2 linked regions of the Canis lupus familiaris genome follow. The protein of the gene in region 1 interacts with the protein of each later gene in a biochemical or structural test. Links are inferred from orthologs where the notes say so. Each region holds a gene or a part of one and is shown in the gene's direction. Other genes may lie near its edges.

Evidence for each region.
Region 2: the proteins of CDK7 (region 1) and GTF2H3 form a complex in vitro, tested with the Homo sapiens proteins (2 studies listed by BioGRID). The link is inferred for Canis lupus familiaris from reciprocal best matches to the Homo sapiens genes CDK7 and GTF2H3.

The regions. Positions count from the first base shown.
Region 1 is NC_049223.1:53,560,012-53,563,828, forward strand, and holds part of CDK7 (cyclin-dependent kinase 7), read left to right. Parts: intron 1-127; coding exon 128-196; intron 197-2,390; coding exon 2,391-2,501; intron 2,502-3,530; coding exon 3,531-3,649; intron 3,650-3,817. UniProt on the Homo sapiens protein: Serine/threonine kinase involved in cell cycle control and in RNA polymerase II-mediated RNA transcription. Cyclin-dependent kinases (CDKs) are activated by the binding to a cyclin and mediate the progression through the cell cycle.
Region 2 is NC_049247.1:6,237,399-6,241,704, reverse strand, and holds the start of GTF2H3 (general transcription factor IIH subunit 3), read left to right. Parts: upstream 1-1,317; 5' UTR 1,318-1,423; coding exon 1,424-1,436; intron 1,437-4,306. Other genes in the region: EIF2B1 (translation initiation factor eIF-2B subunit alpha), read right to left, coding at 1,134-1,146. UniProt on the Homo sapiens protein: Component of the general transcription and DNA repair factor IIH (TFIIH) core complex, which is involved in general and transcription-coupled nucleotide excision repair (NER) of damaged DNA and, when complexed to CAK, in RNA transcription by RNA polymerase II.

The DNA.
Region 1 (3,817 bases):
GATTTAACAGAGTATTATCAGCAGTCTTCATGCTTGTTTAAATTTTTAAAAATTAGTTGGTACAGTATTTTCAAGTACTTTATAGAAAATCACATTATTTATTTATTTTTTGAATTTTGCTTTGCAGCTCCTTGATGCTTTTGGGCATAAATCTAATATTAGCCTTGTCTTTGATTTTATGGAAACTGATCTAGAGGTAAGATTAAGATTCCTAAGAGATTTTTTTTCTCTTTTTATCAAAAGAGAACCTGTTTATTTCCTACTTTCGAAGGTACTGTTATTCAAAGGAATATTTAATTTTTTTGGAATGTGAACGTACTCCTAAGTAAAGGATCTTCTGAATCATTTAGCCGTATTCCCAGTGTTAGATACAGAGATTTGGATTTCAAAACATTTCTATCTACCAAGCTCCCTCTACCTTATTGACATTATTTTTAGAGAAATGAGTATTAGGCCCTTGAGAATTTAGAGTTTCTTTTCCATATTATCACAGAATATCATCCTTTTGACAGCCAAGTTTTTTTTTTGTTTGTTTGTTTTTTTTTGAGAAAATGAGATCTTAGGCTTTTCCTTAATACTAATTAAGGAACCTCGAAAACTAACAACAACTGGAATTCTCATACACCGCTGGTGAGCATGCAGAATCGTACAGCCAGTTTGGAAAATAGTTTGGCAGTTTCTTAAACAGTGAAATACACTGCTAAAGAATGATCTAGCAATATGACTGCTAGGTATTTAAGAGAAATAAAAATATGTCTACCCAGAAATTAATTGGTACACAGATGTTCACTTTTGTTCATTATTGCCCAAACTTGAAACAATCCAAATATCTTTCATCTAGTTAATATAGAAACAAACTGTGGTACATCTTTAAAATGGAATACTGTTTGGGGATAAAAAGAAATAAATTGCTCATATATGTATATAACAGTAGAGAGGAATCTCATTACATAGATTGTGCTAAATGAAAGAACTCAGGCTCAGTCCAGGCTGTGTATTATATGATTCCATTTATATGATGTTCTGGAAAAGGCAAGAACTAAAGAAACAGAAATCAGGTCAGTGGTGGTCAGAGTTGGGAGTAGAGGGAAGTATTGGGCATAGAGGGGCCTGGGGCGATTGGGGTATGGGTGAGAGTTAAAAGAACTCTATCTTGATTATGATAATGGTTACACAACTGGATGTCTTTGTTAAAACTCATGGAACTGTGCACTAGAAAGGGCATATTTTGCCTAAATCTGATTTTTTTTTTTTTTTAAGAAATGGGATTGTTCTCTTAATTTCTCTGTTACTTCATTATTAGTATATGAAAATGCAACAGATTTCTATGTATTGATTTGTGTCCTGCAACGTTACTGAATTCATTTATCAATTCTAGTAGTTTTTTGGTGGAGTCTTTAAGGTTTCTTATGTATAGTATCATGTCATCTGCAAATACCAAAAGTTTACTTCTTGCCAATTTGGATACCTTTTATCTAAATATGATTTCCTTTTTTTTTTTTTTTTTAAGATTTTATTTATTTATTCATGAGAGATGCAGAGACACAAGGCAGAGGGAGAAGCAGGCTTCATGCAGGGAGCCCGATATGGGGCTCAATCCCGGGACTCAAGGATCATGCCCTAGGTCGAAGGCAGGTGTTAAATCACTGAGCCATTCAGACTGCCCCTCTAAATAGGATTTCTAAAAAAAGAAAATGATAACTTCTAGCTAACATATAAGCTTAGGAATAAACTGGCTTTTTTTTTTTTTCAATAAACTGGCTTTAAGCACAGTTCTCAAATAATGCATGAGAACTCAGTTGTGCACTTTAACTCAGCTCTATTTTCTTTGTTATCTTCCTTCATGGGCATAATTTCTCAATATAGTGGCTTATATCCTTAGAGTTTAATAATCTGTAAGGAAAGAAGGTGCTTTGTTCCCCTTGATTCTAGAAGTATTTGGCCTGTTTGATTAGCTTGGATCACATGTCCAACTCTAAAGCAGTCTTCTGGACAGCAGGCTTGAGTATGGTGGTTGGCTATGCCTGGGTCATGTATCTGCCTCTAGAGGCCACAGGTAGTGGTCAGTCCTGTTTTAAACAGGTGGTTTCCCAAAGGAATGTTGAATGCTATTATCAGAAGGGCTGTACATCCTGGGGCAAGCGAAACAACAGATGTTCACCATGTTAATGCCTTTTAAACAATGAAGTAGAAGAGAAAAAGCCCCAGCAGATACTTTCCCTAACTGGAAAATTCCGTTTCTGGAAATTCTGACACTGCTTCCTAAGGAGAGTTAGGCAGTGTTTCTTCAGATTCTCCCGTATGATGGATAAATTCATTATATGTCTGTGTGTGATTCTATATGATGTAATTTAATTGGAATAATTGTATTTTATATACTGGATTTACAGGTTATAATAAAGGATAATAGTCTTGTGCTGACCCCATCACACATCAAAGCCTACATGTTGATGACTCTTCAAGGGTTGGAATATTTACATCAACACTGGATTCTACATAGGGTAAGGTTTTTAACCAATTATGATTGACTTTTTACATTTTAGTCAAGTTTTATGTAACCAGTTATTACATAAATATTTGGTCTAAATACGTATATTATTAAAAATAAAGCCGGACCATTTTATCCCGTCTTCCTCTGGGTGTTCCCTTCAGTTATTCCACCAGGTGGTGCTAATGAGGACTGTAAAATACTATGTAAAATTTAGAAATGCAAGAGGCCCGGTTCTTCATTTTTTTCCATAGATGAATAGCTAATTTGCTGTGTCACCTGACCGAGGTTATAGTTTTTTCAAGGTCAGTAGCTGATAACCAACAGAGTATTAGAATCTAGGTCTTTTGGCTTTAAGTCCAGTATTCTTTATGCTATACTGTTGTGACAGGAAAAAAAAATACAGTGAGAGACTGGGTTAAATTATACATTGCTAAAATATTTTTAGAACAGCAATATTTCAGTAACTCTAAAATTCTGTGAAGTAATGAAATAAAGTTTCTGAAATGATTGAGTCAGTATTAGAAATATTTAGCTATTGAAACAAGGCTGACACTCTCTATAGGTAGATATTTTTAGGTACTCTATTTAGATAAATAGCTAAGAATATATAATTTATAGTCAGTAATTCTCGTACCTTAAACTTGGAATCCCTTTTAGGTTATTGCTAATATCTTTTTAGTATAGATTTTGAGGAATATGTTCCTCATTCTCTCTAAATGCATAATATTTTTATTTACTGAAGTTGCTGTGTATTACTGTTACTAAATTAATAGCAGCAATTATTTATTGAATTCCTCATTGTCATAGTAGGCTCGTTACAAAAAACACTAAATTTAATCCTCACAACAACCCTGTGAAGTAGGTAAATCCAAGGTCTCACTAAGTAATAAAACCAGTCTTTTGCTGTGGTAAGATTTTATATCTGATATGTTTAAATTTGAGGTTTTACCCTGTTTTGTTTTGTCAAGCCAACTAATTGTATTTTTATGGTATTCTCTCCCTCCTGCTTACTTGTTTATTTAAAACCTCCATGATACAGGATCTAAAACCAAACAACTTGTTGCTAGATGAAAATGGTGTTCTAAAACTAGCAGATTTTGGCCTGGCCAAATCATTTGGGAGCCCCAATAGAGCTTATACACATCAGGTTGTAACCAGGTAAGAATCACTTAAAAAACTGAAAGTTTATATTTTGCAGGATTAGTTTTTGTTTTTTTATTATTTTTTATTTTTTATTTTTATTTTTTTTTAGTTTTTGTTTTTTTAAAGTAAGCTTTTTGTAGGCCTAATAACATGGGGCTGAACTCAGGACCCTGAGATCTTGAG
Region 2 (4,306 bases), on another chromosome or scaffold:
ATCTATTTTTTTAAAATATTTTTATTTATTTGAGAGAGAGCACACATGGAGTGGGGTGGGAGGGGGAGAGAGAGAGAAGCAGATTCCAGCTGAGTGGGGAGCCTGACGCCGGGCTCGATCTCAGCACCCTGAGATCATGATCTGAGCTGAAGACAGACATTTAGTGAACCGACTGAGCCACCTAGGCACCCCAGAAGCAAACTATTAAAAAAAAATACTTTCTTTTCAGGGTGTTTGGCTTCACGGGCGTTATAAATGTTGATAGGAATAGAGATGACACCACTTTAGTATTTACGAGCTGTCTTTCTCACTCTTTAAAAAAGATTTATTTACTCATGAGAGACACAGAGAGAGAGGCAGAGACACAGGCAGAGGGAGAAGCAGGCTCCATGCAGGGAGCCTGATGTGGGACTTGATCCCAGATCCTGGGATCATGCCCTGAGACGAAGGCAGACGCTCAACTGCTGAGCCACCCAGGCATCCCTGTCTTTCTCATTTTTTTGGAAAAACCTATCCGTGCACAAAGAGCATAAAATTTAAGCACCACCCCATGATAACAGAAGGTCATCCTCCCTCTAATCCTTGACTACAAGTCCTAGGAGAATCCCAGAGTCAACCACTTTATCAACTTACCCTCCACCTGTCCAGACAGTCGATGCCAATTCTAGCCTGTTCACCCACTTACACATACACATGTATATGCAGCAGCCCATCCCACTCTTATTTCTTTTAAATGAGAAATATAAGTCAGTTTGCCCTTGTGTTTCACTTAATGAAACATCCTGATAATCAGATGAACGCATCTAAAACGTCTTTAAAAAAATTCTAGTACCAAATCCAAGAAGGCGGGGAATCACAACCGCGGAGACGCGCACACCTAGTCTAAGTCTCCCTTTTTTGGAGGTGGGCGTTGGAAAGCGGCGGGAGAGGAAGGTCTGGGGATACCCTGAAGACCCATCCCCTGGAGACAGGGGCAGCGGGAGGGACTGAGCTGCGACTGGAAGCAGCAAATACAGCCCTGCAGCCTAAACTTGCAAACGGATTTCTCGCAGGGCCCCGCCCGGGCGTGCCAGGTGGGGGGACCCCTGCGCGGCTCCGCTTCAGTTCCAGCAAGCCCATCCATTACGACTTACCCTTGTCGTCCATGGCGCCCTCTGGATCGCACAGCCCGAGGGGACCCGGACAGCCCGCGCTGCTGGAGCGGGTCCCACCGCCGCGGGGACTCGCGGCCACAGGGACTGCCAGCACGCCGCGCGTCTCCGCGCTCCACTTCCGGCGCCCTGGGGCCGGGGCCCTGGGTACGGCGCGCGGCTCGCGTCAAGCCGCTCTTGCGTCACTCGGCTGCGCCGGAAGTCGGGGTGTGCAGGATCCGGGAGGAGCTTTTGACGGCTCGCTGCCTCTGCGTTGGGGGATCCTGGCCGCCATGGTGTCAGACGGTGAGGGGTGTGCGGGGAGGGACCCCCACCCCGGGACTGGGCAGGACCACCGAGCTGGAGCATTATTTGGGGGGCTGGGGCAACCTGTCTGGTCTTTAGAGGAGTAGCAGATGTGTTATTTTATTCAATAAATAGTTTTGAATGGTCTCCGGTGTGCCAGCGTTGTTGTATGCGCTGGGGAATACAGCAGAGACCATGGCAGTCAGGGCCTTCGTGGAGGCTGCAGTCCAGTGGGCGAGGCAGACAGTAGTTAAGTAAATAAGAATACTTTCGAAGGGTGACAAGAGCTGTGAAGACAATATACTGGGATGCTGCAGTACTGTCATTAGGGGATGACCAAGGAGGAGCTACGTTTAGATAAGAGTCCAGGTACTGAGAGTGAGTCTCCAGTGAGTGTGCAAAGGCGCTGTGGCGAGTTGAGTCGTTACATTACACTAAGAAATGGCGAACTTGAGGGTAGAAGAAGATGGAGAGACTTTCATTCATACATTAAACTACCAGCTATAGAGCCTGCTGTCTTTTTTTTTTTTTTTTTTTAAGATTTCATTTATTTGAGAGAGAGTGCGCGCACCCGTGAGCGGGGAGCGGGGGTGAGGGAGAGGGAGAAGCAGACTCCCTGCGGAGCAGGGAGACACATGCGCCGCTGGATCCCAGAACCCTGAGATCATGACTTGAGCTGAAGGCAGAGCTTAACCAACTGAGCCACCCAGGCATCTTGAGCCTGATTTTTAAAAAAATTTTCTTTATTAGATGTTGAGCAAGAGCGAGGATGAATATGAGCAGGGAGAGGGACAGAGGGAGAGGGAGAAACAGGCTCCCCACTGAGCAGGGAGCCCAATATGGGGCTGAATGTTAGGACCCTGAGATCATGACCTGAGCTGAAGGCAGATGCTTCACCAATTGAGCCAGCCAGGTGCCCCTAGCTTGATGTCTTAAAGAAAAAAGAGACCAGGGTGGTGGGAGTGAAGTGAGCTAAAGGAATGAGGTCAGAAGCTAGGCAGATGCATGGCCCTTGTGGGTGGTGAAAAAAGAGGTTGAACTTTAAGTGTAGTATGAAACCATTGTAGGGTCTTAAGCAAAGAATTGCATAATTTAATTAATTAATTAATTAATTTTAAAGAATTGCATAATTTTATTTTTTTATTTTATTTTTTTAAAGATTTATTTATTTTTTTACTTATGATAGACATAGAGAGAGAGAGAGAGAGGGAGGAGGGAGGAGCAGGCTCCATGCCGGGAGCCCGATGTGGGATTCGATCCCAGGACTCCAGGATCATGCCTTGGGCCAAAGGCAGGCGCCAAACCGCTGAGCCACCCAGGGATCCCCAGAATTGCATAATTTTAAAAGATCACTTTGGCTGCGGTGTGGATAAGGGAGCAAGAGTGGAAATAGGGAGATCACTTCTTTTTCAATACATACCACAGTCCTGAGAGAGGCAGGCCTGGCATGGGCCTTGTCTACAAATGATGGTGTAGAGACTCAAAGAAGGAAGTTGACCAGGCAGTCCGTGTGTGTGGGTACTCATCTCCCCTATTAGGCAATACTTTATTTTTTTCTCAGGCTTCTGGGCAGTAGCAAGGGCTGGCTGACCCTAGAGTTGTGGGGTGGAGCTCATGGAGAATAAGGCCAAAGGATTGTGGGCTTGTGGGTAGAGGAGTGAAAGACAGTTATTAAATGCTGCTTCTGTGTTAGGCATTTTTGTGTGTGTGATTTGCACTTTTTGTGTGTGTGTGTGTGTGTGATTTGCACTTGTTATTTCATCCCAGGATTCGCAAAAATCCTCTTTCTGTAATGAGGCCACAGTCTAGTGGACTAGTTTTAGCAGAGCTGGCAAGAGAGATCAGAAAGACAACTAACTGTAAAATGAGATGATTCATACTAAGAGGATCAGAAGTGGACAATGGGTTATTGAAAAGCCAGGGATCCCTGGGTGGCGCAGCGGTTTGGCGCCTCCTTTGGCCCAGGGCGCGATCCTGGAGACCCAGGATCGAATCCCACGTCGGGCTCCCGGTGCATGGAGCCTGCTTCTCCCTCTGCCTGTGTCTCTGCCTCTCTCTCTCTCTTTCTGTGACTATCATAAATAAATAAAAATTATAAATCTTGAAAAAAAAAAAAAAAAAAGAAAAGCCAGTCTTTATAGTCAAGTAGATCTGGCTCCATAGCAGGGAGTTTTGCCGCTTGCTAGCAAGCCATGTGACTTAGAGCAAGTTACTTTCATTTGAAAATAAGAATGCCATATTTGTGTCATCTAAGTTATCTAAGACAGTATCAATTATGAGATCTGTTTTTGTTTAGTGTGCCACTAAGAGACATGCTGCTAGTCTTAATTATAAGACACCATCCTGATTTCAGCAACTGATAAAGAGAGAGTCCCTGTCATAATTGATGAAAGATGACAGTAGTATTTCCATCAGTAGTTTGTTGTCAGCATGAAATGGGATTATAGGATTACATATGCTGATGCAGACAGCTATTCTCAGGTTGGGGAGCCAGGACCTGTTGGAAATCCTGGGGAGGATTTTTGGAAGAAAAAAAGTAGCATTGGTTTGGTGCTTTGTAGAGGACATAGGATTTGGATTTGAGAACAAATCTACGATGGAGTGGGGATTATCTGATGTAGGAGGTGGGACTGCAGGAAGGAAGGTGTGGGGGCAGGAAATACATTATTGCTTTTTGCTATTAAAGGAGCATTCTGGGTTTTTCTTAACAGCTGTGCTTATAGGTTCGTATATCTGTCACCTCAGTTAGAATTTAGACTCCTTGAGGGCTTGAACCCAGTATCCCCAGCTTCTAACACTGGTATTTAGCGTAAATGTTTGTTGAATGAATTAATGTGTTGTTAGCCTGTACAGTTGTGTCTAACTTTGGA